Linked DNA regions of Diceros bicornis minor. The protein of the gene in region 2 purifies or fractionates together with the protein of the main gene of each other region. This does not show direct contact. Links are inferred from orthologs where the notes say so. Each region holds a gene or a part of one and is shown on either strand. Other genes may lie near its edges. The genes, in order: EPC2, MRGBP and MBTD1.

Region 1 (10,270 bases), on a different chromosome or scaffold from region 2:
ATCTGAGATAGCAATGCATACCTTGTTTATGCCAAGACAAAATCACCTCTTGGCTCTGCCAGTGGATACACCCTTAGCTCACTGCAAGAGCAGGACAGACAGCTTTCTAGTCAGGCACTGGTCCTTGTTAAGCTCCTTTCTTTCCAGAGAAGGACATTAACTCTATTCTTCACAACACAGTTATTTAAGGCATATGGTCTGCCCTTAATGGGGCATTTAGAAGAGCCACACTTCAGCAATTTTAACAGAGCACAATTTTGAGCTCACAGCCACACAGTTTATCAGGAGACAGTAGAGAGTAAAACACTATTCAGGGAGGACTGCTCGGGGGCCATGGAGACCATTCATACTCCTGGATCTTCATGGGGTGGGGCTCATGGCCTCAGACATCCAGGTCCATTCTAACCCTTGCAGAATTGTTTGTGCTGGATTGCATATGATGCCATCATTTTATATGGAGGGTCACTACTAGAAACAGCCTTAGGATGCCTCTTTTGTGTCTATTGTAAGGATACTGTTGAGGTGTCTGTCATACCACCTACTTGCTCTATTTATGAACTCTTGGATATTATGATTAGGACCAGGAACAACTGTAAATCTCCTGAGCAATCAATTTATCTAATCAACATTGTGAACTGTGAAGCTGACAAGGTTTCCTATTTTCACATGACTACGAAATTTCACATCACTAGAAAATTTAGAGCCCAAATGCTATCCTCACACATTTTACCTACTCTCAAAAGTCACCTGAAATCCTTTCCAAAACAAGGTGAAGGGTGTGGGTGAGTCAGTAAATATCTAGGTAATTAGTGTATTTTATTTTAATGGTTTCTGTTTCTTCCTCTGCCAAAGTCATCTTTAATAGCTGATGAAAGACAAGTAGACCTGTTTTCCAATTTGGAGACATGAAGTTGCTTTCCTTTCTGCCTCCTAACAAGTCACTCTGCAGTTTAGGGGGCTTTCAGTATGCTAATTCCAGAGGTTTTTGTTTAGGAGCTCTCAACATGCTAATACCAGAAACTTTTCTTAGGAAACAGGCTATTTTGTTCTTGGGAACAACAAAGATAAGATCAATAAAGCATGGCTGTTACTAAATCAATTTGCCAATTTTTTAAAATTTAAGATTCCAACTGTGTATTCCATTCACAAATCTGTGCTTATAAACAGTAGTTCTTTGATGGTGGGAGAGATAAAAAACAGGTGAGGGGACCCACATTTAGAATAGCAACCCAAGGTTCCTAACATCGGACTCCCTTTAGCTAACATTTCGGACCCCAGTGGGCTCGGTGCTCTGAGCCTGCTTTAGCTGCCTGAGATGTGCCAGCACATCAGTGGGACTGAAATGCCTTCACAGAGAGAGAGAAACCACCTTCCAAGTTACCTTTCAGAGATGCTTAAGGAGAAAAGAATGCGCCGGTGGAGGAGGCCAGGGAAGGCAATTGAGAGGAAAAGATGTTCTAGGAGACCTAAACCAACAGGAGATGTGCACCTGTAGCCCCAAATCCCCAGGCTCTCCACTCCAACTCCCTACTGAAAATAATATGAAAGGTCCAGCCAGTTTCATGAATGTAACAGTGGCTGCAGCTGAATGGCAGCTGTGCTGAATTTAGAGAAGTGTGGATTTTCTCAAGGGCAAGGAAGCTGGATTGGAAAGGATCCTATTTTACCTCCTGTGGCCTTGCTCCAACAATTGTTTCCTTGTTTCAAATTCAGCACTTTATTAAAATAAGTAGAATCATATTCGATGGAAGCTAGTGACTCTCAGAAATCCAAAGTCCTGAAATTAAATCTACGTAGTTCACTGGCTGTCTGGACACAGATAATTGTCCTAGTCAGATTCATTAGCTCTGTCACAAGAGCTTTACTTATTTCTGGTATCCCCACGCAAAAGCTTGAGTGAGTGGTGTCAATCTATTCCATGTGTGGGGATTGGGTGTGTTTTCCGGTCAGAATGGGGAAACAAATGAGACAGGCTGTCAGCGTGATTCAAAATTGAGTGTCGTGGACCCTCTGGAGCTGTGTGTTTGCAAATCTGTTTCCTTCAATTACATCTGTCTCATTTTTTCCTTGGTTAATAAAATACAGAGTTTTCGGGCTGATTATTTTTGAGCCTATCTGGATCCTTTGTGGAACTGGGAAGTAAATCGTCAGCTTATACACAAGGTGGCACCCTGTGATTCCAACCAGGTCTGAGAGGAGCGATGCTGCTAAGAGACCGAGCCATAGCCACAAATTTTTATTTAGCGTCTGGTTTTCCCACTACGGTAAATATAAAGGTGGAAGTAGATGTTTGGCATGTCACCACTGAGTGCAGTCTCCCTCCCTATGTCTCAAAGATTCAGAGTTGCCTCAGTAAAGGGCACTGGAACCAGGGGGCTGATTCCAGTTGATTGTAATGAAAGCAGACCCCACATTCAGATTACATATGGAAAACAATGAAGCTTTATTGGTACTGGGCTCATTCCTGGGAACATAAGGGGGAGGGGTGGGGATGCAGTCCACATACCAACCCAATTAACTTTCAATTGGGTTTGCCGAAATAGGGAGCCAATTAGAAAGAATGTGACATTTACAAAACTCTGAAATAACTGAATAACAACTGTGTTTACTAGTATTAAATTTCCTTTCAAAAAGTAATTTATTATTTGGAAGCTGCCTGCCCTGACTGTAATATGGGGAAATGGAAACTGGAATATAATCCCAATTCTTACACTTACTTGATCTTTATTCTAATTTAGACTACATGTAGACAGTGGTTTTATTTTTGATATGGCTTTAAAACTATTTTTAATTCTTGGGTGTTGTTACACTACACTTGCTTGGCTAAATGCATGTCATTTGGAATTGGTCCAGAGCATATTTGAAGTGGACAGATTTGGGAATGACTGTACTCAGTGCATTGTATGTGGAAATTAAAATAGGCTATTAGGCTGCACAATCATTTGAAACAGGTTTTGATAAAGATATTTTATAACAGGATCTACTTCAAAAGTTAAAAAGATATTTTCTGTTTTTAGCACAAACAAGTATATGGGTATTCAACAAATAGATTAGAAATAAACTTTATGAAAAATAATATTTGTATACAAATAAAAGCTACTTTCCAAATGTGAAACAGAGGCATTCTGGTTTGGGCACTGAATCGGAAGCCAAGAAAACACAGGCTGTGTCTCACTTAAAAAGCGTATTGTGTTATTTGCCTCAAACTGTTTTATTCCCAGCTATAATCATTACCTACAGGGCAAGAGGAAAGTGGAGATTTGGGGAAGAAATCTGTTACATGGTCAAAGAAAAAGAACAACAAAACAACAACTACTCCAGTTAAAACCTGTTCCTCTAATAGAATTTCAGGTTTCAAAAAAATTTCTTTGAATTGCTTTAATTGGTTCTAAAATTCCTATGCCCAAAGGTAGGAAGCTGGAGAGAAATGTAGGCCATGATAAGAGCGAGTATGGGCAGCAATGGCTAGGTCAGGTGACAGGCCAATAAGGTAGGTGAACTCCAAGCTGGAGTGGAATGGGGTCAGTGTCACTGAATTTCTCTAGGGAATATCAGTCAACAGATATATATTAGGTGCCTGCTATGTGTGAGGCACAGAACTAGGGATACAGTGAATAAGGGAGCAGATGTAGTTCCTGCCCTCCTTGAGGCTATCGCATCTCTAGGCTCTGGGTTATGCACTCTATTGGCTATTGGTTAAAAAGTCTCAGTAATTTGGATCAGCAACTTTAGAATGTTGAATGGTCAATAAACCGAAGAGCTTGGACAGCAGCTTGGCAATGTGGAGAAAACAAGAGTTTTGGAGTCAGGCTAGACCTGGATTTGAACCCAGTTCTGTGAGTTATTAGTGTTGAAACTTGGCAAATTATCTGAGCCTTAGTTTCCTTATTAGTAAAATTATAATATTTCCTCATAGGGTTATAATGAGAATTAAGTGGACTGCAATTAATTGAGATAATATATATAAAGTACCACTATAGAGACTGGTATATTTTCAATATTCAATACTTCCTTTCTTGAGACAGAGTAACAATAAATACAGGGAATAGAAGAAAGCTATCCCTTCTGAGCCTGAGAAGTGCTGGGCACTCAAATAAAAGCCCTGGATGACTCATTTCTTCAAACATCGCTTCCCCACACCTCCTCCCTTTCAGGCTTGAATCCAGTGCTGACCCCTTCCCAACAACGTCTTGTTCTCCCTTGCAGAGAACTGGAACTGCTCCAGAGGGTATCGCTCAGAGCAGGACATGCCTATAAGCTTGAGGAAGGTATTGCTTACAAGAAGTGAGTCACAGCATCTCCATTGTTTCCAACAACAAAGTGGATGGAAAACACTCAAGCCCGGCTAAACAATGCTGGAAGTCTTGCTGGGCCAAACAGTTAGACTATTTAGACACTGCCATGAAGTCCATATTCATCATTTTGCCTTCAAAGCGGGAGGTGGAGAGAAAAGGGAGGAGGAAGAGGAGGAAAAAGGGAGAAGGGAAGACGTGGATGAGAAAGAGGAGGTAATGGAGGAAGAGAGTTTTGATGTCATACAGAAATGACTGCAGGAATCAATTTTTTTGACTTCTGGACTTCAGAAACCATCTACTTTTCTCAGAGCTAGGCAGAACATTAATCAATTATTAGAAATGGTAACATGAGTTACACTCTTCCAGGGATTTTGTAGGAAAACTGTAATGCTTAAAGACTAACCAAGAAACTTGGTTAAATGAGGTTGATGTCAACAATACCTGGTACTTATTTGAGTCAACTTGATTTTCCCTTCTCTTTAGAACTTTCTCTAACCAGCTCAGGCTAAAGTAACGCCTCCTTTCTCTGAACTTTCCTGGCAATTATTGCCAGTACAACTCATTTGGTAATTAATCATGTTCTAGTGCCTGTGTCATCTTTCTTGTATAGTTTTCTTCAAGTACTTACTTCTGCTATCATTTATCTTTCCAGTTGCCTTGTTCTTCAACTATTTACATCTCTTACTACTATCCATCTTTCCAACCGTCCTGTCATCCCAATAAGGTGAACGCTCCATGAAGGCAGGAACTTGATCTCAAACTTCTTTGAGTCTTCCACGGCACTCAATGTTTTACGCACATCTGCCACTTTGGAAATGTGTGCTGCCTTGGTTAAATTTTATAAGTTTAACTCTTAGGAAGGCTAATATTTTTGAAGTCAGTATCCACCATCCACTAAATAACTCTATGAAGTTTGGGGGACAGGTTCAAGGGCACTTGTTGCGTCTGGCAGCCTCAAACATGAACCCTCACTGCTGCCATTAGCATCCTCCCCGCGAAGGCGAGGATGCCTTACCTTGGAGAGCTCTTTCGGTTAGGTAGTGAAGAGGGGGTGCGGGAAAGAGGGCTGGCTCTGAGTGCGCGTTTTCGGGGCGGGCGAGACGCGGCAGGTCTGCGCCCCTCTGAGTGGGCAGACGGCATGGACCTTCCGCACGTCCCGGGGACGCGCAAATTGGAGGATGCGAATTAGCCGGCGCTCGCGGCGCCTTGGAGATAAGCGCTTTATAAGTGCAGGCTCGGTGGCGGCTACTGTGGCCCTGGTTGACGTCTCCCTTTCCCGCTCACACACTTCTGCACACACGCGCTGCTCGGCGCCTTCCTCCCGGGCGCCCAGCGAGAGGGCTGTCGCGGCCGCGGAGACAGAGGCGCACGCTCGGGGGCGCGGGTTAACTTGCGCACCTGGCACCTGCCACACGGCGAGAGCGCCGGCCGGCGAGCGGAAAGCCGCCGCGGCCGCCGCCCCCTTGTGCCCCAGAGCGGCCGGAGGCTGAGCACGCTCCCGCGGGCCGGCCGCGCCGCGGAGAGAGTGGGTGGGCAGGCGAGGGAGGGGAAGGGAGAGGAAGGAGGGAGGGAGGGAGGGCGAGGGCGAGGCGCGTCCCCGCGGCGGGGGCGCGCTCTCGCGCGGGCTGCCGGGATCGCTCGCCGCCGCTGTGGTAATGTCCGCCATGTTGGCCATGGCGCAGGGAGCGGATCGGGCGGGCGAGCGGCGGATCTAGTGTGTGGAAGCGGCCGCGGGCGGCGGGGGGCTGTTTTCGGGCGGGGTGGGCGCCCATGCTGTGGCCGGGGGCAGTGAGGAGGAGGAGGAGGAGCGGGCCGGCCGCGCTGCACTGAGGAAGGAGGTGGAGGAGGCGGCGGGAGTCCTCCCCCCCTCCCCGCCCGCCCCGCCGCCGCCGCCCGGGCTGTTCCTGTAAGGCGGGGAGACAATGAGTAAACTCTCCTTCCGAGCGCGGGCGCTGGACGCCGCCAAACCGCTGCCTATCTACCGCGGCAAGGACATGCCTGATCTCAACGACTGCGTCTCCATCAACCGGGCCGTGCCCCAGATGCCCACCGGGATGGAGAAGGAGGAGGAATCGGTAGGGACTCGAGTGTTTATTACCCCCCCTTCCCTCCTCCCCCCTCCCTTTTGTCAGTCGGGCCTCGCCATTCACAGAGCGCTTTACGCTCGCTGGAGGGCGCCGCTGCCGCTCCAACGCATGGGACTCTACGCCGGCGGAGTAGCGTAAACCCTCTCGGCCGGCGCAGCGCCCGCCCGCGGCCGCCATGTTGTTGCGTCCCAGTGTTGTGATTAGCTCGCAGCGCTGCTTACGCTGCCGTAAGGGGGCCTTGCCGTAAGCGGCGGCCGGGAATGGCGCAGGGGATGTTCTGGCCGCACTTGGCGTATGGCCTCTGTTTACCTTTTTTTTTCCCCCCTCATTCGGCGCGGGGTTGATTAATGGGCGAGGGATCTTTTGATTAGGGAAGATTTTTTTTTCCCCCTCACTTAAAATTTAGTTTTGCACTGGGTTCTCTTTGAAATGACTTATGGAAAGTAAAGCGCTTTCAAAACACCCGTCATCTTTCTCCTAGCAAGGTAATCCTCGCTCCCTGGCCCGCGGTGGTGCAGCGGGGAGAGGCGGTGCAGCACTGCGGCGGGGGAGGCGGGGGCCGCGACTGTCCAGCGGCATGTAGCGTTAGAGAGCTGCTGACCGGCCGGCTCCGCGGCCCCGAGCGGGACGGCTCTGCCTGCCTGCCTCACCGGGATGCGCCAGCTCAGTGCGCAGCGTTAGGAAGGAAGCGGGGATGCTCAGCAACGAGCTGCCGGCGCTGCGCTATCCCCGTGCCGCGTCTCCGGTGATTGTCATCGGAGGGGGGGGTCTTTTAGAAGTTGAAGATCTAGTGCATGTAAATTGACAGTTGCATTTTTAATAGTACAGCGCTTTTTGGCAAAAATGTTGCTTTTTTCCTCCCTGATTGGTTGAATTTTGCATACGGTTGGATTTCATCTGGCATGACAGTGTTTATGACTCTGGAGTGGTGTTACTTGCGTGCGAAGTTCATAGTAACTGCACCCTCCAGAATTTCTTCAATGAACCTGCGGTCCCGCCTTATTGTCAACCCCGGGTGTGCGTGGATTGGTTCTCTTGCTTCTGTGACTGTCAAAAGAAAGCTCGAGGTTTCTGTGATTGGTTTTCTCTTTTAACTGTTAATATTGCAGGAAATGCTTTTATGCCTCTGATTGGCTGCTCGAGTTCTGACCTCATTGTATTACCCTGTTATTACTAATCTTTGCTGTGATTTAATCACATTTCTCTTTAGTGTTTGATTGCTTGAATGTTTTGCACTTTCAGTAGAAAATGAATATGGCGGTAGTATCAGAATGAATATTCAACGTTCAACTTTTTTTAAATAAATAAGATGAAAACTCGACGTTTATCCTTAAGGTTTAGAGATAAGTACTTCCTGAGAATTCTTTTTGTTTTTTAAGTAAAAATTATTTCTAACTTAGCTCATTTTTCCATGGGAAAGATAATTAAGAAAGTTGTAGTATGTACAAGAATTAATTGAATTAAACTTTAAAAACCACCGGTTTGGATTCCAAAATGTTAAATTTCTGTTAGTTATTTTCTGGGTTTCGACCCCAAAAGAAAAGTGGCTTATGAGTCTTAAAGTATCAATAATATATGTAATTACTTGGATCCTATTATTTTGTTTTGGGAAGAATTTGAATCAAGAAACTTGTTCTAGAATGAACAGTTAGCCCCTGGACGATGTATTAGGTTTTGCAAACAATGATTAGCTATACTTAATTATTGCTTTAGGTCCTTAGTTTGTCACGTAGATCTTGATATTTTATCTGAATTTAGGAAGAAAATTTGCAGTTTAGTTTTTTTTAGTGATGTATTAAAAATAAATGCTTAACGTCATCACAATTTTGTACTATTGACTTTTTCAGTAAAACTTGTGATTTTCAATCTAGAGCATGAGTGCTAAAGTTGGATTATTTTAAGTAGCCTGCTTCAACTGCTCAATTTTAGGAAGAAATCCAAATTCTGGTAGAACTAGAATTGAAACCTAGGACTTCTGACTTTTTGTCCTGTCTGCCTCTTTAATGTTCAAGTGGAGGTTCTTAAAATCAAAACAAAACTAAAGAATTCCTGACAGTTAAGATTTATAAGTCTTTTGCTTCCCAGAATGTCCAATTAGGGTGTTAGTTTTTTCTTTTTCTTTTTTAAATTAACATGTAAGTCAGAAGACTTGTGCTTTCGTGAGTGACAGCCAATTCAATTCTCCCAGTCATAATTACAGAACTTCTGTTATTAAGCAGAATTATTTGCTCATTTAAAGAAAAATGTTTTGCTTTGATAAACAGTTCTAAGCAGCAGTAAAATATCATAAATTTCAGAAATATTTTGTGTTTCACTAGAGTTGTATTTCAGTTTAATTTCCATTATCAACATGTTCTAACTAGTTACCTTTATAAGTTTTTTTTTTTTTTTTTGAGGAAGATTAGCCCTAAGCTAACATCTGTTGCCAATCCTCTTTTTTTTTTTTTTTGCTGAGGAAGGTTGACCCTGGGCTAACATCCATGCCCATCTTCCTCTACTTAATATGGGACGCCGCCACAGCATGGCTTGATAAGTGGTGCCTAGGTCCATGCCAGGGATCCGAACCCGGGAACCCCAGGCCGCCGATGCAGAGCGTGTGAACTGAACCGCTATGCCACCGGGTTGACCCCCTTTCTAAGTATTTTTTTTTTGTAAACATAGACTTGTAAAAACAACAACAAAACCCTTCATTTATGGATTTATAATTGTTGCTCAGCATTTCTAAACTGTCCACAATATGACCCCTTTCCTGCTTGGTTGGCAGAATCCTTTGACATGGCTTTAACACCTTCATTGGTCCACTGCCCCCTTCCCACTCCCCCCCCCCATAAAATTAAGGACTGTCTCTGTGTAGCCATTGGACTATCATTAGTCTTTGTTTATACTGTCATTGACTCAGGTTTGAGTTACGTTCTGACAATGCCTAGATGAGGTAATCTAGGTGTTCTTTGGCATTGGTAGCACTCTATCATTGCTGACCATATCATTCTTTTAGCTCTCTCTTTCCTTTTGAACATGCAGGCATCTTTTACTTCTTTTATTCCCTTTCCTTATTTTCATTGTCTTTAGCCTCAGTTCTGCCAGTTGGCATCTTCCCCATAACTTGGTCTCGGTAGTGCTCCTGATGCCACTTAGTCTAGGTCAGATACTGTAAACTAATGTTTATTTAGAATCTAAACCAGAAAGATCAGGTGATCAGTGATTCTGCCACCTTCCCATGAGTGTTGTGTATTGGTAGTTGATGTTTTTAATAATATTTACCATTTTTTTGAATACTTCTTACGCCCCAGGTGCTAGGCGCTTTACCTATATTATTTCATTTAATCCTTTTTTTTTTAAATAATTTTATTTATTTATTTATTTTTTCCCCCAAAGCCCCAGTAGATAGTTGTATGTCATAGTTGTACATCCTTCTAGTTGCTGTATGTGGGACGCGGCCTCAGCATGGGCGGAGAAGCATGCGTCAGTGCGCGCCCGGGGTCCAAACCCGGGCTGCCAGCAGCAGAGCGCACACACTTAACCGCTAAGCCACGGGGCCGGCCCTCATTTAATTCTTCTTAAAATCCAACTTCTTTGAGATATAATTTACATGCAATAAAACATACCCATTTAAATCATAGAGTTCGATGAGATTTGACAAATGCATGCATCCATGGAAACACAGCCGCAATTCAAACGCCCAAAAAGTTCTCTTGTGTTACTTTGCAGGTCAGTCCCTCTCCACTGATAGTTCTTAGCAACCGCTGATTTGCTTTCTCTCACTGTAGGTTAGTTTTGCCTTTTCTAGGATTTCATATAAATGGAATCATACATATTTTTTGTGTCTGGCTGCTGTTGCTCAGCATAAGGCATTAAAGATTCATCCTTGTTGCATGTATCAGTCCATTC
Region 2 (9,680 bases):
AGCCACGTGTGGACGTCCAGAGAAGATGGAGCCCGACTCCCCACTCACCGCTCTCGACACCTGAGAGCGCGGGGCCATCCTGGTCTCGTGGATCCATCAGAGCCCAGATGGTCTGAGCGGACAGTGCGGGGCCTCCGGCGTCTGACCAGCCGCCTGCCTGGTGAGCACGGCTCCTGCCTGTCCGCCGGCCCGTCCGCCCTCCTCCGCGCCCGGGGAGCATCTACGTTCGGCGCCGCTTGGCGGAGCTGGGGCTGGAGGGGTTGCTGTTGGCGGTCAGGACTTTGTCAGCGACCCGGCTGCGCTTCCGCTTGTCCGCCCCTTCTCTGGACCCCAAGTCTGAGGAGTTCTTGTCTTTGTCTTTGCTGGATTTTTCTGTGGATTTCCCCAAGCTTCCTGAAGATGAAAAAACTGGGAGACAAAATCATTTGGCTGAAAATAGAATATCCAGAATTTTATTTCATCTTCCTGTTGAGTTAAAAGACTCTGCATCTACACACGTGACACTCTGACCCAAAAGGCTTCTCCAGAGCTGGGGGTGCCCGCGTGGCCTGAAGAGTGCCTGGTCCTCCTGAGGATGTGCCTACCACGCGGGCCTCGGGGAGCACACGCTCAGCTGCAGGACCCTGCCACGGCCATCCACGCACGCCCATCCTACAAGGCGGAGCGAGGCTTGGGCCCTGCGCGTCTTTGCTATTCGGGGTTTGTCCTGTTCCAAGACGACAGACACACGTGTGACTCCAGTCGGGCCCCCTGCACTGCACACTGTCCACCTGACTGGACACCAGTGCCCGAGGTTGCCCTGTGGTTTCTTCACGGTACTGGCCACGTGCAAGACCTCCACGCACGCCGAGGCTCCCGCCTGGGCAGACGGAAGCTGCCTTCACAACTGCTGAACCAGGCAGAGCGGCAATGGCTACAAGTGGACTTGAAATACAGGCTGGGGACATGCGGCTGCGCCCTGCAGGGAGGCCTTGCAGGGGGTGGGGTGCCGTGTCCCGGGCCTCAGGGGAGAGGTGGGGCGTGCTCCACACTTACCGTCGTCGGCCCCGTTATGGGGGTCCACATCCTCCTTCATCTCCTCTTTCATTTCCTCTTCAATGATCACTTTTCCTGTGGGGGACACAGCTGGTGGTTACCGAAAGCCAACCTGGGGGTGGCTCAGGCTGGGGCTGCTCCTGACTTGGGAGGTGTATGGACCTCGCTGCTGCCAGGCCGCTTTTAAAGATGCTGACTGTTCTTGAACAAAGTCCTCCCTGATCCCAGGAGGCTCCCCAGGCCTCCCCAATCCAGGTGGACGGAGCATCACATCAGCGACCCTCGCTTCTCCCTGAGGTCATGACCTTCACCCTGACACCATGTCCCATCTTCTCTAATTCCCAAATCTGACCCCACCTGAGTCTCACCTTCTCGGACTTCTTGAATGATCTCTTCTGGAAGGACGAAGTTCCTCTCTGGATTCGGGAATGGAAGAATCTCAGACTCGTGCTGATGGCAAATAGGGTGTTTTATTTTTTTTTAAGAAACGAAGAAAATGTGATTTTAGCAAGTCACTAAAAACGTGTAAGAGCCAATTCAGGAGCAGCCAGCGAACGCTCACAGCTGTCTTAGAGGGCTGCAGTGGGTGGGCGCCAAGCAGGTGAAGACTTTGTTCTTTCTGCTCGTGGGGTCTACTGGGCTGGGCTTTTCACACAGACTCAGAGGAAGCAAAAACTGCAGTGCAAGCAGTTTTGGGGGACCGGCAGGAGTCCCCTGAGATGAGGCTGGGGCAGCTGTCACAGGGCCAGGCTCCCCACTGATGGCTCCCTCACCCCAAGAGTGCGATCAGAGGGTGGTGACAGCCCTGAGGGAAGGCCATGGTGCCTCCGGTGCCCATCCACGTGGCAGGAGCCAGGCTGCTGGCAGGGAAAGCCACCTCCACAGAAACCAGGTAAGGAAGGCAAAGTGGAGCAAGGCACCCTGAATGCTTATGCGGTTCCACCCGTCCTGCAGGTCACACATACCAGGAGGGACAGGGACCCCGGAAACACAGACTGCTGGATGAAGGGAAAGCTGAGCTGGCTGACCAACATTTGCGAGCCCCTCTGGCTCCTGGGCCCACGGGTCACCTTGTAGGTGGGGTCCAGGGACTCATATTTACAAGGCCCTGGATGACTTGGCATCAGCAGCCCTATAGTGGTGATGAGGTCTAAGGAGATGACAGGCCCGAGGCCTTGCCCAGTCCTCAATGAGCAGCACCCTGAAGCTCCGTGAGTGTCACGTGGGCCCCATGCTGGGCATCACAGCTACAGGCTCCTCTGAGCGAGTGTCTGCAGCTCAGAGCTGTCTGTCTGTCTCCCATGTGACAGGGGCTCCCCCAGGACAGGGACCCTGCTGCACTCATCTGTGTCCAGCATCCATCCAGCCCCCACCAGCCTGGAGTCAGGGCGCGGAGGGTGCCTGGGGACCCAGTGACCCCACGTGACAGGCATGGAATTCACAAGAGCGAGGCCGCTCCGGGAGGACTTCCTTTAGTTTAGCAGCTTGTCTTCAACGCAGCAACAGCAGCTCGAGTTTCCAGGGCACTTGCTGCAGGCCGGGCGGTCAGTCCCAGGTCACAGCTGTCATCTTTATCCCCTTTCTATGCTATGACAAGGAGACGCAAACAACTCGCCCAAAGCCAACAGAAAGAAGTGGCACAGCAGGATCTGGACGCAAGAGCGGGGCAAGCGTTCTCCGCCTCAGCAACGCGCACGCAGGTCTCAGCCGGGAGGGCAGGTGCAGCCCCGAGTCCAGGGGGAGACAGAGCCTTCCCTAACCATGGCACAGGTTCCCACCTCTCTGGTCCCGAAACCCCCTCTCACCCCACTCTCCAGGTGCTCTGGCCTCTCTAAGCTCCTTGACCCACCAACTCCTGCTGCCACGGGGCCTTGACACCTGCCGTTCCTCTGCCAGAACAACCACCTGTCTCTTCCAGCCATCCTGGTTACCCAGGTAACTTGCTCACCTGCCCACACAGCTGGCTGGGGGTTCCATGAGACCTCCCTGCCTGCCTGGTGCTCACCGTTGTTCCTCTTAATGTGACTTACATCTGGTCACCTTCCTGCCTGGAGCCTCTGGGCCGTCCCATAAGACTGACAGTGGCCTAAGGGGCCCCCACAGGCCTCAGCTTCCTAGTTACCTCCTTAGAGAGACCTTCACTAACCACCCAATTTGAGACAGTTCTGCACGGGTAACCAGCTATTAGATTTCTGTATTTTGTAAAACTACTTTGAGCTATCTTGTTAATGTGCTCCCCCAGGGGACGTCCATAGGACATGAGGACAGGGGCCCAGCACATCCTCGAGGAGGAGACATGGAGGGGGAACTCTGCCGCCAGATCCGTCTGGGGAAGGCGGGGCTCTGGCCTTGGAAGGCCTGGGGAGGGAAGGGTCAGCTCACCAGGGCCTGCATGTCATACATGGTGCTCAGGTGGTCCCAGATGACCTTGGACGGGACCTGCCGACCGATGTTCTGGCTGAACTTGTCCCGGATACAGATCATGTGGAAGTGCCGGTTCACACCTACAGGAGGAAGGGGTCAGCTTGTGGGGGGGGGGGAGCACAGCAGGTAAGAGAGGAGGAGTAGGTGGGGGGGAAGGGGCAGAGGTCAGTGAGGTGTAGGAGGTGGTGGGGGTGTAGGACGGTGCAGAGATGGGGGTAGGAGGAGGGAGGGGTAAAGGGGGGGCAGGGGGTGGGGCACAGGAGGAGTGGGTTTAGGAGAGGGTGGGGGTGCAGGAGGGGTGGCCAGGTGGGTGGGTGTAGGAGTGGGGAGGGGTGGGTGTAGGAGGAGATGGGGTGAGTGGGTGCAGATGGGGCAGGGATGGGTGACGGAAGGGGCAGGGGTGGGTGGGTGCAGGAGGGACAGGGTGGGTGTAGGAGGGGACAGGGGTGAGTGGGTGCAGACAGGGCAGGTTTCGCGCAGGGGACAGGCACGGGGGTGCAGGAGGGGCAGGGTCCGCGGGAGGGGGACAGGGGTGGAGGGTGCAGGTGGGGCAGGGGTGGGTGCAGGAGGGGCAGGGTCCGCGGGTGGGGGACAGGGGTGGAGGGTGCAGGTGGGGCAGGGGTGGGTGCAGGAGGGGCAGGGTCCGCGGGTGGGGGACAGGGGTGGAGGGTGCAGGCAGGGCAGGGGTGGGTGCAGGAGGGGCAGGGTCCGCGGGTGGGGGACAGGGGTGGAGGGTGCAGGCGGGGCAGGGGTGGGTGCAGGAGGGGCAGGGTCCGCGGGTGGGGGACAGGGGTGGAGGGTGCAGGTGGGGCAGGGGTGGGTGCAGGAGGGGCAGGGTCCGCGGGAGGGGGACAGGGGTGGAGGGTGCAGGCGGGGCAGGGGTGGGTGCAGGAGGGGCAGGGTCCGCGGGTGGGGGACAGGGGTGGAGGGTGCAGGTGGGGCAGGGGTGGGTGCAGGAGGGGCAGGGTCCGCGGGTGGGGGACAGGGGTGGAGGGTGCAGGAGGGACAGGGTCCGCGGGGGGGACGGGGGTGGGGGTGCAACAGGCCCCGTCCCGCCCGCGCCCCGGCCGTTGCCCGCCCGCCCCGCCCCCACGCGGGTCCGCGGCGCCCCGCTCACCGACAGGCTTGTGGCCCAGCATGGCGTGGAAGAGGCACACCTCCACCTCGGGGCTCCACACCACCGTCTCCTCGGCCGGGCTGGTGGCTGCCTCGCCCGGCCCCTTGTCGCCCGCCGCGCCACCGCCGCCCACCTCGGCCTCCCCCATGGCCCGGCCGCCCAGCGACGAGCCCCCGGCGGGAGCGGGCGCGGCCACGGCTCCGCGCAGGCGCACTCGGGGGGCGGGCGCGCTCTCGGCGGGCTCGCGCTCGGGCTCGCGCGCGGCGTCGGCGCAGGCGCAGCTGAGGGCTGGCTCGCCGCGCCCCCTGGCGGCCCGGCCCCGCGGCGCAGCGCCGGCAGAACGGGCGGATCGCGGAAACGGAGCGCGTTTGGGGCGGGGGACCGAAGCCTCTAAATGAGGGCGTGGCGGCGGCTGCACAGTTCTGGGTACGCCGCCCTGAGCTGAGCGCTTCGAAGGGCGGGATTGCAAATCACACCTCCGTGGAGCGTTAAGAGAAGAAGAACGAGCAACTGACAATTCCGCGGGCGTGGGCTCCCAGGGCTTCCATTGCCCTGGCCGACAGGGGCCCCGCCGCCGTGACGCGGTCCTCGGGGGTGACCCGCAGGGGGGCCTCGCGGGTTAACGGGGACGGTGGGGGCAGGGCCTGGGCGGGAGCCGGCAGGGTCTGGGGCGGGGCCTGAGGCAGTCTGGTGACGCGCTCAAAGCAGCACCCAATAGAGGCCGCCGGCTCCGCCCCCTCCCCACCAGGCCCCGCCCCTCCCGCCAGGACCCGCCCACGCGGTGTCCGCCCAGGACCCGGGGGCAGAGCGCTCTTCCCTGCCGCCGGGTGTAGACTCCGGTCGGGCTTCCGGGTCCCCTTCCGGCTCTGCGGGGGCTGGCTGTGTGGGCCGGGCCAGGCGCTGCGCCTCGTTAGGCCGCAGTTTCCTCCTCGGGGCAGGGGGACCACACGGCGCACCCCCAGGGGTTCTGACCGGCTGGCTGCCCTGCCCGCCGTCTGCCGGGCGCCCCGGGCCCGGCCAGCCCCGGACACGCGCTCGGGTTTCCTGGTACACAGCTGGAGCCACACTGGTGCGCGCTGCCCCTTAGCAGGTGCTGGCTCTGGTCAGCTTCACCCCCTGGGACGGCCTCAGAGTGGGGCCAGCTGGCTTCCCATCTGTGAAGGGGGCTGTCCCCACAATGCTACCGGGGGGGGGGGGGGGGGCGGGATGGGTGGCCTAGAGAGGGGTCCGCAGTGGCCCAGGGCCCCCAGCAGTCATGTGGACCTGAGATGTGGCTGGACGTTCTGTGATTCTGGCCTGTGTTCCTCTCCTCTGCCCTGACCCACAAGTGGCCCTTGCCTCAGCAGGTTGCTGCAAGGCTGGAATGAAGCACAGCTCGAAGCCACTGAACACAGGCTCCCTCACGCACTAAAGTGCTCAACAGATGGTGGCCCTCGGCATAATAAATCTCCTTACTGTTCCCTGGACACTGTGGGGTCCCTGCTCCCTGACCAGGTTCGCTCTCTGCTCATCCCCACCCCATCCCAGCCGTCTTCAGTCTGGAGAGCCTGGTCCTCCAGGAAGGTGCCGCTGAGCCCCGCAGAGCAGCTTTGGCCCCTCTCTGTGCCTCTCTCAGGGCCCTCGGCCTCTTCTGCCCTGCACGGAGTGGCCTGTGCCCGTTTCCTTTCCTCACTGTGCTGGAGGCTCAGGAGGCCGGGCTGCGTCTTGGTCCTCGCTGTCCTGTGTGTCAGAACCGTGTTGGGCCAGCTGCTGTGGTCCCCGGATGCCTGGTTCCTTTTGCTATAGGCAGATCCTGGAGTGTGTATCTGGGGATCAGACTTGACGCAGACAGGTTGGATGATTTGGGCAAAGGGAAACCACCTTCTCCATGTCTTTCTTACTTGAAGCCTCCCAGGAGCTGCCTCCTTTCTTTGCTTCCCCAGTGCATGTGGAACAAACTCGGCCTGTGGGTTCCATGCTCAGAATCAGGATGGAGCTGAACGCTGTGCTCACCTGCCAGGACTTTGCCTAATACCGTTCGTCCTTGTTTTTACACATATGTGAGCACAGCTGGAGCCAGACTTAGGCAAGATTAAGGAATCTGGAACCAGAGAGGAGGCTGGGCTTCCAGATGGGCATTCCGGATCACCACTGTGACTGTGCTGTCAGCCTCTTGGTTTTGGTGAATCGGACAATAGGCTTCAGAGCGATACCCAACCCTTGACTGTGTTGGTGATCCTGCATGGGTGACTGGGCCATCCAGGGAGTTCTTTAGGATGAGTGGTTTCAAAATAAGATGGGGAAAAATGGTTAAAAAGTGAAATGCAGCTGAATAGAGAGATGATGTGTGTGGGCACATCGTGTGTGTCCATCTGGAGGATCACGAGGCTCTAGGCTGAAGGAAGCCCCTTTAGCTGATGAACAGAGAGCTGCTGAGGACAACTCCTCCGTTATGAGCGGTTTCTTCCCACCCTGATTCTGAAGGCAGGTGTGGGTGTTATGCAGGGATGAAGGCACGGCTGCCTAGGAAGGGGGCGGTCGCCCGGGGAGTGGTCGGCAATGGTCTCTTGAGCACCTCCTGCTGCCTGGCACGGGGGATGGAGAGGGCGTGGACATGGTGCCTCTCCTCACAGCCCATCGTCTGGGGATCAGACTCACACGGAGTAGGAAGGTGGGGATCTTATCGTGCAGGATGAGCTGAGAGAAGAGGAGGACCTTTCCTGGGGACAAGGACAGCTCCTGGGGCGGCAGAGCTCCAGAGAGAGGCCGTGGGTGTGGTGGGAGGCTGACTCTGAGCCTCGTGCTCCCCGTCTCAGCACACAAAGTGAGTGTGGCTTGGGCACACAGAGCATCCCCACTCTGGGACCTTGAAGGCCTGGGCACTTGCTGACAGCGGCCGGCTAGGACCCAGGGCTTCCCCTGGACGTTCTGGGCCATCTAGACCTGCAGGGCCCCTGTAAAAAAGACGTTGTTTCCTCTTCATCTGACATTGGGGACACAGGGCCAGATGTAACCTGCACCGAGCAAGTAGAGTAACGTGACGAGTGTCGTGCCAGGTCCTGGGTGGGCGGCAGACCTGGTGGCTCCCCTGCCCTGCACGTGTAAAGAGAGGGAGGGGCTGGATGGGTGCCCCCTGTGCGGCTATGGGCTGGCCGAGAGAGAAAGCGCCCAGGGAGGCTCGTGGAGAGAGGTGAAGTGACGTTAGGGACATGGAGGGGGGAGGGGTGTCTGTGTGCGTGTGCGCGTGTGTGTGGTGAGGAGGAAGGCTCAGGGAAGTAAGTCCTGGGAGAGACAAGTAAGAATCGATGGATACAGAGCAAAAAAGCTTTGAAAAGAAATCTGTCATCTATCTATCTATATCTATCTGTCTGTCTGTCTCTCTGTCCATCCGTCCATCCGTCCACCTATCCATCCATCCATCCATCCATCCATCCCTCCATCCATCTATCCATCCATCCGTCCTAGAAGGTAGGACACACATAACTGTGGCCCCCGGGGTGGGCAGCCGGGGCAGGGGTGCAAGGAGACCTTTTCCTGTGTCTTTTATATGCTGGGGTTTTTGAACCACATGAATGAGTTACCTATTCAAAGAATTAAATGAAACAATCTGACATGCGATATGTTATTTGCAATCGTTATAAACAATAAATCTAATTATTTTTATGAGGTATAATTGACATAACATTCTGTTAGTTCCATGTGTGTAGCATAATGATTCGATATTTGTATATATTGTGAAATTATCTATTTATTGAGAAAAGATGGCATATTCCTTGTCCATAAAAGAAGTCAGCAAAGAATGAGGCAGGTGCCGGGGTGAGGAGACCTGGGACAGTGGGACCCCCGGTGGTCCCACGTCCACACGGAGACCCAGGCTCGGTGGGAACCTGCTCTGTGAATTTCCTCTCATCATGAATTTCCCCCCATGGCCCCTCTCTGAGGGAGATGCCGCGGAGACTCCCGGGGTGAGGAACCTTGCCATGGTCCCATGATCAAGGGCAGGGCCAGGAACTGACCTCCAGACCCACGCCTCCAGGACCCACCTCCCTCCCCGGCCTGCCCGGCCTGACCTGCTCTGGTTCCCCTGGATCCTCACCTGGGCTCCCCCTGGCAACCCACCCTCCAGACCCTGGGGCCACAGATGCCTCTCTCCCCCTGTGCCCCCTCTCTCCTGCCCAGACTTCAACTCTCAGGTCCAAGGTTGCCACCCGGGGGGGCTCTACCGCCCCAGACAAGAGGGTCCTGTTTGGTCCATCATGGTCCTACTGCTCATCGAGTGTTTGGGGCACCCCGTCACCTGCCTGTCATCACAAATCACTGGTGACAGCTCGTTCGGTGTCCACCTTCCTTGCCAGGCTATCAGTTGGCACCAGGGTCAGGGCTGCTCTGGTTTTGCACCACCGGCCCCACCTCCCAGGCAAGGCCTGGCACACAGCAGGTAGACAATAACCATTTGTTGATGAACTGACTGACTGACTGACCTGGGCACTCCCTTGATCATTGTGACTGAATGAACTCCCCCACCTGTGTTACCCAAATTTCCTTCAAGAGATGCACTTGGCCTCCCAAGTACCTTGATCCCAGGAATAGGGGGTTTGGACCTTAGGTGAGAAACACCTAGGCCCTGGAAAGGGACTTCTCTCACAGTCAACAAACAAACAAGCCTTCTGGTTTATACATCGGTCTTGTATGAGTTTGGCCAGTGTGACTCATTCCCCAGACCACCTCTGGGTTCTGACCAAGGGGGTTGCTGATGTCATCTCTCGAAGGTGGTAACCACCACTAACCAGAGGGCACCTGTCCCCCACCTCCGAGGGGACACCTGGTTCTTGGTCACAACAGCTGGGTCCAGTGGAAGGAGTGCTTGAAAGGCTTTGATCAAACATGCCCTGTGTGTTCACATGCCCTTGTGTCCACACACCCTGTGTCCACATGCCCTTGGTCACACCGTCCTCCTCTCTGGCTGAGTCTCTGGGAGGGAAGTGGAATTCCACCGCAGCATGGCTGGTCCTGCCCTGAGGGCTGTTCCTCCCTGGTGCATACGCCAGTGCTCCCGCCGGGGAGCCTGGAGGAGCACGCTGACGTGGAGGAAAGAGCTCACCCACGTCCATCTGCTCGACCACGG
Region 3 (9,808 bases), on a different chromosome or scaffold from region 2:
GTTCTGTTCAACTAAAAGAGCCTAGAAGTTATGGAAAGAGATGGTCTACCATATATAAATGAATCAGCAAGTAAGCAATATTATCATTGATTATATTTGGGTGGTGGGATTACTAGTTCTTTCCAAATTTTTTTGGTACTTGTTGTATTCCCTCTCCCCACAAAATACTAAAATTTAATCATTTCTTCCAACAGCAATGCTCTTACTGTTTCAAAAGGGAACTCTCACTACCCAAGAAGCTGTTACAGCCAAAGACTGAGTGAATCGAAATAAACTACTGTTATAAATATCTCTTGGTTAAATCACATGATAAACGACACTTACTCTTCTTTAAGTCTCTTCTGAAGTTCCTCTTTTGAAAGTTTACTTTCACTGGCATTTTTCATCATATCTTTCCGAAAACGATTGTTCACCATGTCAACCCTATAACAAACAGAACAGCATGCTTTAAATGATTTTTGAAGAATCAACGTAAATAGTTGGTGCCTTTAATATTTTGGGAAAACATTTAATTGAACAATAAAGGTCAAGATTTGTAAGATGTGGAACATCTCACATGCATATTCTCCAATCTTTCCAAAACAAAAAGCAGTCTCCAATATTTCAGATCATCTAGTTTACCCTTTGAACAGCTTACATTTCAAATTCATAATGACTTATCTAGACACAGCTTATGCCATTCACCAAAATAAATTCCAAGCAAAATAAAGAGTTAAATACATAACAACCAAATCTTAAAATACTATGAAGGAAAAATACAGGCAAACACTTGTCTTTCTCTGATGAAGGATTTTTTACTGTTAAAAACAGCAAAAAAAAAGAAAAGATTCATAAATTTGACTATATAAAAACGTAAATATTCTGAATGTCAAATATTAAAAACAAAATTAAAAGGCAAACAGAAAGCTGGGAGAAAACCTGCAATAAATTTGACAGATAAAGGTTTGAAATTCTCAATATGTAGGGAGCTGATATATGACAATCATTAAGAAACAGTCTCATCCTGCCATTTTTGACAACATGGATGAATCTGGAGGACATTATGCTAAGTGAAATAAGACAGACACAGAAGAAAGATACTGCATGACCTCACTTATATACGGAATCTAAAAAAAGTAGACTACACAGAAGCAGAAAGTAGAATGGTGGTTACCAGGGGCAGGGAGGTGGGGGAAATGGGGAGATGTCGGTCAAAGGATACAAAGTTGCAGTTATGTAGGATGAATAAGTCTAGAAATCTAATGTACAGCAGCATGACTATAGTTAATACTATATTGTATACTGGAAATCTGCTAAGAAAGTAGATTTCAGGTGCTCTAACCACAAATAAAAATAGTAACTATGTGAGGAGATAGATATGTTAATTAGCTTGCTGTAATAATAATTTCACTATGTATATGTAGAGCAAATCATGTTGTACACCTTAAATACATACAATTTTACTTAAAAAATAAAATAAATAAAAAGTAACAGTCTCCAATAATCAAAGACATAATAGAGAATACTTTTAATAAATACCAATGACTAATAACAAAAATGTTTTCTCAACACAAATTAGGTAGCTATCTCCCACCCCTTAAACCGACAAAGTCTGAAGAAAGATAAATCATTGCTTATAAGAACGGAGTGAAAAGGCAAACCTTTCAGTGGGAAGGTCAACTGGTAGAACCTCATGGTCAATCTGGCAGTATTTATCAAGAGCCTGAAAAATGTCTGTGCTCTTTGATTAAGTATTTCCACCTCAAAGAATCTTTCTTAAAGAAATAATTAGAAAAGTGGAAAAAGGTTTATGCATAAAGATGTTTATCTCATCATTAATTTATTAAAGAGAAATATCAGAACATCTGTCCAACAACAGCTATATAAATTATGGTTAATTCATACAATGGACAATAATACACTCATTTAAAAATGTTGATAGAGGCTTTTTTTTAAAAGCAGGAGAAATGCTTGCAATACAGTAGATTCTCATCTATTAAAGTACATACTGTGTGCGCTAGCTAACTTTTTTTTAGCCTTTTCTCGGTTTCAGGCATCGTGCAAAGAGCTCTACATACACTATTTCATTTAATCTCAAGAGCCTTCTGACATAGTCACTATTATTACCTCTATTTTACAAACAAGAAAACAGAGATTCTAAACATGCCCACAGTCAGTTAGGAACTGGCCAAATTGGGAGGCAAACTCAGGTCTGACAGCAAACACTGCTGTCCTAGCTATTCTATACCGCACTGAAAAGACGGGAAGAGAAGTATGCCAACATGCTATCAGTGGTTCTACCTCAGCGGTGGGATTATGAATGACTTTTCCATACTTTCCAGTATTTTTCAAATCTTCACATAATCGCATATTCTTAAAAAGAACTTTTTTAAAACCTGCAAAATAACTTTTAAAGTACCCACAGGGATTCTGGAAGAAAAATTATGCAACTTACATTTCCTCATCTTCATCTTCTTCATCCACCCAAACCGGCTTCTTCTGAGGTGGAAAATTATCTTTTGCTTCATTCTCCACTTCCGAGTCACCTGAGTCTTCCTGTACTTCAACCTAGAGAAGACAAAACCCCCTCAAGCACTGTTTTTCATATCCTGTGGTGGCAGACAGACACATTTTGTAGTTAAGATAGCTTACAGAATGCTCTGTTTTTTACAGCCCTCTCATGAAATAATGGGACAGAATGCCACCACAGCAAATGCTGGAGGCAGAAGACAAAATGAGGAGACTAGAGAATGTCACCACACGCTGGACAGGCGAGGTAAGAGGGAACAGTCAGGGAGAGAATGTCAACATGCTCAAAGGAAAACACCAAGTAAGACAAAAACAACAAAAGGTAAGCAGACAGATGAAGGAGCAGGAAAAAATCCACAACTGCAGAAATTACGGGACCAGAGGCAAACTAGCATCCAAGACAAAATAACATGATTGAATGTCATAATTAATTAGGATTTCATATTCTTAGACACACATCTCCATTTTTCTTAAGTTCTTGACCCCCTACCTCCTTAAGAAACTTTATACTGTACAATCAAATCTAAATCCAGACCACAGAACATCCCCTGAAACATGCTTGATCTTTCCCAAAACCACACGATGATTTCTACCTACTCTATTAAAGACCTACGATCCTTCAAAACCCAACAAATTCCACCTCTCATAGACCGTTTTCCTGACTAGGAAACTGTCACACAGTCCAGTAGTTCTTCTCTATCTCCCAACTAGATTTCTGCAGCTTCTCCCATAAGCACCAAAGGAGGTTCTGGCAATCAGTTGATACTTGCTAGGTCCGCCTTCATTTACCAAACTGAGTCATTCTCAGCGAGGCTTTGCCTGACCACCCTACATGAAATTTCACAAGCCTCCTCAACACACACTTAGCTCCCTTTCCCCAATGCTTTCTTTCTGTCTTAAGCACTTGCCACTGACATAATGATTTTTACTTATCTCCTTTATCTTCTGCCTTTGCAACTAGTACATAAGCAGGGATTTTGGTCTATTACTGTGTCTCCTCCAGTGCCTAGAACAATGCCTGGGACTCCCTACCTTGGAAGAAAAGCCACGTATAGATACAAGGGGTGATAGAAAGAGTAGAAAAATTATAATCAATTACGCAGGATTTTCATCGCCAAAAAAAGTATCTGGCACCCAGCGGGCTCACAAATATTCGTTGAATAGACAAATAAGCACACGGTCATTCTCAAAAGCTGGCGAGACTTGGGGAGATGGTTAAAACGCAGATTCCCAGGCCCGCGCCCGCAAATTCCGATTCTACAAATGAAGCGGAACTCCCGAATCACGGCAAGATATTGATGCAGGTGATCGAACAACCACGAGGGAAGAAACCCTTCGGAGTAAGGATGGGGGAGCTGAACGCGAAAGATGCTCACGACCACAGTTCGCGAAACAAAGACGTGTTGAGCGCCTGCTGCATACCAGGCGCGGCGGCTCACCCGGGGGCGGAGAAAGGCGCGGTCCCCGCCCTCCGGAGACTCACTCTGGCATCCCCGGCGCCCGCGTTCTCGGGCTCCCTCCCACCTGAGGCTCCCCGGCGCCGCAGGTCGCCCAGACTCCGCCCCCGGAGGCTCGCCGCCCACCGCGCGCCCCGCCCGAGCGCGCCCAGCCCGCGCGCCGCGGCCTCCCTCACCCGCGGGCCTCGCAGACGCCGCAGCAGCGCGTCCTCGTCGTCCTCGACGTCGCCGAAGACCAGCTCCTCCAGGCACCGCTCCACGGCCGGCTTGTCCTCCTCCAGCGTCAGGCGGTTCCGCTGCCGGAGCCGTCTCTCCTCCTCCGCCGCCGCGACTGCCATCGCAGCGGCCGCTGCGCTCGGCCGAGCCGGCGGTTTCCGCTGGGATGAAGGAGCAGCCTTTCGGGGAGGCCCGCCTGGCCCCGCTCCGGTTCTGCGGTCCGGCCTCATTCGGGTCTTCCGGTCCGGCCTCGCTCCGGTTCTTCGGTCCAGTCTCGTTCGGCTCCTCCGTTCCGGCGGCATCGTTGGGTTTGAGAAGAAACGCAGGAGCTCACGTGGAACCTCACTGCGCGTGCGCCGAGGCGCCTCCCTGTCCGCGGCGGCTGAGGCCCCGGGGGGCCGGAAGGAGCCTGCGCAGCCTGCTACCACGTGACCAGCACTCTCTTCCCTACGTAACGCCCACTCTCCTCACGTGCCCCTCCCCGTATGGGAGTTCCTCCGGGAGGACCAATCTTCCGGGTGGAGGGGGAAGCGGCGTGAGCGGAGTGGAAAATTTTTTCCAACACATCGTCGCAGCTGCAGCTGATTGAAAGGAGCACAAGCAAGCCAGAGTATAAACTGAGATGATCGCGCGAAACTTCTGCTCCTCCTCCTGACTTGTTAACCAGTCGACTTAACACGAGCCCCAATTGCCTTTCCCCCCCCTTCGTCTTGGTACGGCCCTTGGAGTACGGAGCCTGCAGAGGGTCCCACGCTGGAAGAGAGAGAGGAGGGTATGTAGGGAAGTGGGCCAATCGGGGCGCGGGTCACGGCGCAGGCGCGCTGGGGAGGGAGGGCTATGCTAATGTTGTTGATATCCTGGGGCCACCCGAGTTAAAGGGGGGAAATCCGGGGGCTGCCGCAGCCGCCACCGGTCTGGGCCCAACCGGGGGCCCCCTGTAGTCGCCGTAGTCCCGGGGAGAGGCGCCTGCCCCCAGCTCGGGGAGGGGGCGCCGCTGGCCCGGGGAGCACGGACAACCCCTACCCATGAGGCCCTGATGGAAAACACAAAGGATCTGGTGAGAGCCGAGCGCGGCAGCCGCTTTGTGTGCCAGGTGGGGGGGACGCCTGCAGCTCCCGACCCCCAGGAACCCCTGCAGCTCCCTGACCCCGCTCCCAGGCCTGCTTCTCCATCTCACGCCCCCTCCATCTCCGGAGCCCCCCTCCCCCTACCGGCCGTTAAACGATTCAGGGGTTCCCCTCCCCCCACCCTTTCAGCCCCGGACTCGTCGGGGTTCTCTCTAACCCCCTCCACTCTCTGGAAGAAAAATTTTAGAAGAAAGTTTTTCTCTGCGTCCCGCCTCCCCTACCCCTTCAGCTCTGGCTCGGGGGGGAAAGGCTGGATTTGAGACTTTTCCTTTTTTGCCACCCAGGGTGGGAGAGTGTTCTCACTTCCCCCAGGGGGTCATAGTTTTGGTGCTTTGCAGGGGAAGGCGCCTGTCCGCTTTGGGGCGAGTGCTGCGAGGCATTTTGCACGTGGAGGTGGAAATCTTGAAAGGGGGCGGGGTGGGCAGATGTGGGAGGGAGAGGTGGGAGTGGTGTTTAGGAAGCAGCCGCCTGGGCCGCTTATTTAACAGGGTTCTAAGTCGGTGGGCTTCTATGACCGTTGCGTTCTCTTGTGTGAAATAAGAATCCTAACATTTCAGAGTCGGAAGAGACATTAGAGGTCACCCAAAGCAGCCGTCCCCTCTGCAGCCTCTCTGACAAGTGGTAGGTAGTCTGGCCTCTGCTTAAACCCTACAAACACTGAGCTTTCACTGCTGCCCAGGAAACCCAGTGCGTTTTTCAGTTGTTCTCGTTGTTTGTCTGCCCTTATTAGACCCTTCAGTCTCATTCATGTGCTTGTTAAGTTGCTCCGTTTTTTACTTCTCAAATTTTCTCTCACATCCTCCTCACCCACCCACTGCTCGTTGGCCTATATTTTGTGTGCCAGGAAAGAACAGCAGGGAAGTGGAGGAAGGAGGATTTGAGAGATAGTGAGGGCCAGCTGAAAACTTTGCTGGGTCAGTTTCAAATGTGGTGGCTTATATGTCTGAGAACCGCTATTTTTCAACAGGAAGCTTGGGAATTACGGTCTGGGATTTCGTGGCTGTTTTCTCTCGCTAGTGCATGTTTTCCAGGTTAGAAATTTCAGCATCATCTGTATAGTTCTTGTGTCTGAAAGCACATTTGCCTGTTGCCTAAATCGCTCCCTAAGGATGCCTAAAATTGCCTCTTGGGGATAGTACTGAAGCTGTTAGAAGCATGTCCTGGTAGAGGGACGGTCAGTAGAAGTGCTCCTCCTTCCCCTTCTTGACCTATGTGTTCCTTTCAAGCTGGACTTCCTTCTCAGGGCCCCTCCTTCACAATGCTTTCGTTTCTTTCTTTTCTTTTCTTTTCTTTTTTTTTTTTAACTCTTAGGAGATTTGGAATTTTTGTAACACTTTAGTAGTTGCTTAGAGTTTGCAATGTTTTTCATGCTCCTTACATTAGTAACACCAGTATTTATCACTCAGTTGTTGAGATAGTTTGGTTCTTGCTATTGTCACTTAGTGTTTTTCTAATGTTCTCCTTCATTTGGTGAGCTACGTTGCCTCCAAAAGTTTTATTGGTATAAGAATCTTGGGGGCACATAGTTTCTTCTTCCTAATATGGTAAAGTGGGAGTCAAGACATAACAGATAAAATGTAGAAGTCATGAATCTGGTCTAAAAGCCAGAGAATAAATTTCAGTTTAAACACCCGGTCCCCTGTTTAAAATGTTAGAGCAGAGGCCTTTTTTTCTCTCTCCCGTTTATGACTTAGAGACTGTTGCTCTGCTCTAGTGTGCTTAGGCTGTATTTTTTTTTTTCCCTGTTTGTTTACCTCAACACCAATGAGTGTTTAGAAAGAAAATAGCTGTCTTTTTTTGCACCACCTCCTCTGAATAACAAGTAGCTTCTATTTATATAAAACCCCATCCTCAAGGCTTCTGGTGCCTTGCAAATTATGGCAAAAACTATCTTGAATAAGTATCTGTTCATAAGTATGTTATGTTGGACCATGTTTTTTAACATCCAATTTTTAATTTTATACAAACTTTGACTTATAATATTTCCTCTAAATCTAGTCACTGGAATGTAACGTGGAAATGAATACTGGATACTGAAAAAACTGATAGAGCTGTATAATTCTGTCTTTAAAGCTGTAATTAATGAGTTCCAAGTTATTTTCCTGCTTACTTTAAACATGAACTGTCATGACTTAAGTTGACTGACTTTGGAGACATTTGCATTCTAAAGGTACTAGACAGGAACAACTGGTTTTATTTTTAAAGAAGACAGTGTTATAGTTTTTATGGCTGGTTATATGTTGACCTGATTAGTGTCTAAACTGTCCTAGATGTTCAAATGCTTCTAATCCTTCAGTTACACTGGAAATTAAAGCAATTTAAGTTGTTTTAGAATATAACATAGTAGTGAAAAAAAGGTAAAACTATAGCTTAGACGTGAAAACAGCATATTAATGTCATAAATACTAAACCACTAAATTACTATGAGCCACAAGTACTCAGTAGTTTGAGTGACCACATTCTAAAATTAGACAAGTCACTATCCTTTTGGTTGCTCTTTGTTTCTCTATTTTTCATCCTTAAAATGTTTGCTAAATAAGATTTAACCTTTTCACATTTATAGTTTTAAGGTAAACCAGTTAAAAATGTATCATTAGTTTCAGGATTTCAAATCCAAGAGAAAGATAAAAACATCAGGACAAAGAAGAGGAAGGACTTAAAATAGTTAAAACAAGCTAAGATATGCCTGCTAACACCAGGGTATTCTTAACTGTCCAAGGTTACCTTTAATTTTATACCGAGATGGCAGATTGGTTTAGATTTAATCATGATTTTTTAATAAACCTTTTTTTTTTAGAATTTTTTCCGCATAAATTTAGAATGTCTCTTCTTGCTTTGCTGGAACCCATAAGCAAGAGTGGAAAGGAAATAATTCCATTTGAATACACCCTGAATTGAGGTGGAATGGAGTGATATAGAAAGAGGGGCACTGGGAGACTAGTATAGAGTTTCAGTTCTGCCACTAACTAGCTTCCTGGCACTTGTTGGACAAGATCCTGTGCCTCAGTTTTCTCTTCCTCACAGTTGAAGGCTTGGTCTAGAATCAGCATTGTCCAGTAGAACTTCCTGCAATGATGGAAATGTCCATCATTGTGCTGTCCAGTAAGGTAGCCAGTAGCCACATGTGGCTATTGAGCGCTTAAAAGGTAGCTAGTGTTGACTGAGGAACTCAATTTTTCTATTATTATTATCATTGATTTAATCAGTGTGAATTTCAGTAGCCACGTATCTGCCGTATTGGACATGCAGATAGAGAACAGGTATTTTCCAAGCTTAACTAATCGCTAGAGTCTCCTCCTGGGGCGCTTGTAAAAATACAAACCTTTCCCCTGGAGGTTACCATTCAGAGGTCTGCAGTGGGGCCTGGGAATCTGTGTTGTGTTCTTTTTTTGTGTTTTGTTTTTCCCCAGAGCCCCAGTACATAGTTGTATATTCTAGTTGTAAGTCCTTCTAGTTCTTCTGTGTGAGCCACCACCACAGCATGGCTACTGACAAACGAGTGGTGTGGTTCCACCCTTGTGAACCAAACCCAGGCTGCACCGAACTTTAACCACTAGGCCATCAGGGCTGCCTCTGGGAATCTATGTTTTTAATGCAGGCCCTGGAAAGTATTTTATCAGATTGGTTAGGGAAACACTGCATTAGAAGATTTCTGGGCTCCCCTCTGGTTCTCACTTTAGTATTGATAACTTAAAATTTGGTGTAGTAGAAATGAGCTCTGGACAGAGTTGGCAAACTGGCCAGGCTCTAGCTCTGCCAACTCCTGACCTGTGATCTTGGGCAAGTTGGCTCATCTCTTGGAGCTTCATTTTCCTCATCTAAAATATAGGCCAAACATGAGCCTTGCCTCCATCCCAAGGTCCCTCCAGTCAGGTGTGATGACCACTGTATAAGAAAATGTAAGCTGCTGTAAATGGTAATTAAAATGTTAAGATATCGTCCCAGAATCCCTTTTTCTTTTTCCCTTTTCACTGTATTTTCTAATTCCTACTTCTCTTCGTAGAGAGCTGGTTGTATACAGTGTTCATTAGTTAATTTAGTGATTTCTTGTCCTCCGAACTATTTGGTCATCGTTTACAGTCTAGTCATAGGGCATGCATATTAAATCTAGCACTTTTTTGTCTTTCTGGTGCTTAGCATAATGATTTGTATATATTGCTCAATAAATATTGGATACTGCCATCTATTACTTTACTTTTAGACTTTGGAAGTTTAATTAGCTAGTTTCAGATTATTTTATACACCAGAGAAATACCCCCCTTGTGTACACGTATATGTTTTACCTTATTTTAATTGTTGCATCAATACCCTATAGTTATTATCGTTCAATCATTGTGTATCTTTTGAGCAATGGCTCCAAATATATTTTTAAAAGATAAACACCAAGAGAATATCATCATTTTACATCAGTGTATTTAGGTTGTATCACTGAATAATCTGTTTAACATATTGTCACTATATTAACATTATAATAAATGATCTAGTTTGATTGCACAAACT

Evidence for each region.
Region 1: the proteins of MRGBP (region 2) and EPC2 purify together in Homo sapiens (co-immunoprecipitation; 4 studies listed by BioGRID and IntAct, counting the BioPlex papers as one, with this or other methods). This does not show direct contact. The link is inferred for Diceros bicornis minor from reciprocal best matches to the Homo sapiens genes MRGBP and EPC2.
Region 3: the proteins of MRGBP (region 2) and MBTD1 purify together in Homo sapiens (affinity purification with mass spectrometry; 4 studies listed by BioGRID and IntAct, counting the BioPlex papers as one, with this or other methods). This does not show direct contact. The link is inferred for Diceros bicornis minor from reciprocal best matches to the Homo sapiens genes MRGBP and MBTD1.

Annotation. Positions count from the first base shown.
Region 1 is NC_080749.1:32,911,018-32,921,287, forward strand, and holds the start of EPC2 (enhancer of polycomb homolog 2), read left to right. Parts: upstream 1-5,949; 5' UTR 5,950-6,217; coding exon 6,218-6,370; intron 6,371-10,270. UniProt on the Homo sapiens protein: May play a role in transcription or DNA repair.
Region 2 is NC_080758.1:1,346,230-1,355,909, forward strand, and holds the start of MRGBP (MRG/MORF4L-binding protein), read right to left. Parts: upstream 4,740-9,680; 5' UTR 4,725-4,739; coding exon 4,577-4,724; intron 3,540-4,576; coding exon 3,418-3,539; intron 1,486-3,417; coding exon 1,404-1,485; intron 1,111-1,403; coding exon 1,036-1,110; intron 409-1,035; coding exon 221-408; 3' UTR 1-220.
Region 3 is NC_080757.1:35,216,340-35,226,147, forward strand, and holds the start of MBTD1 (MBT domain-containing protein 1), read left to right. Parts: upstream 1-5,045; 5' UTR 5,046-5,217; coding exon 5,218-5,238; intron 5,239-5,865; exon of another isoform or gene 5,866-5,929; intron 5,930-9,808. Other genes in the region: UTP18 (U3 small nucleolar RNA-associated protein 18 homolog), read right to left, coding at 325-423, 2,435-2,547, 4,142-4,483. UniProt on the Homo sapiens protein: Chromatin reader component of the NuA4 histone acetyltransferase complex, a multiprotein complex involved in transcriptional activation of select genes principally by acetylation of nucleosomal histones H4 and H2A.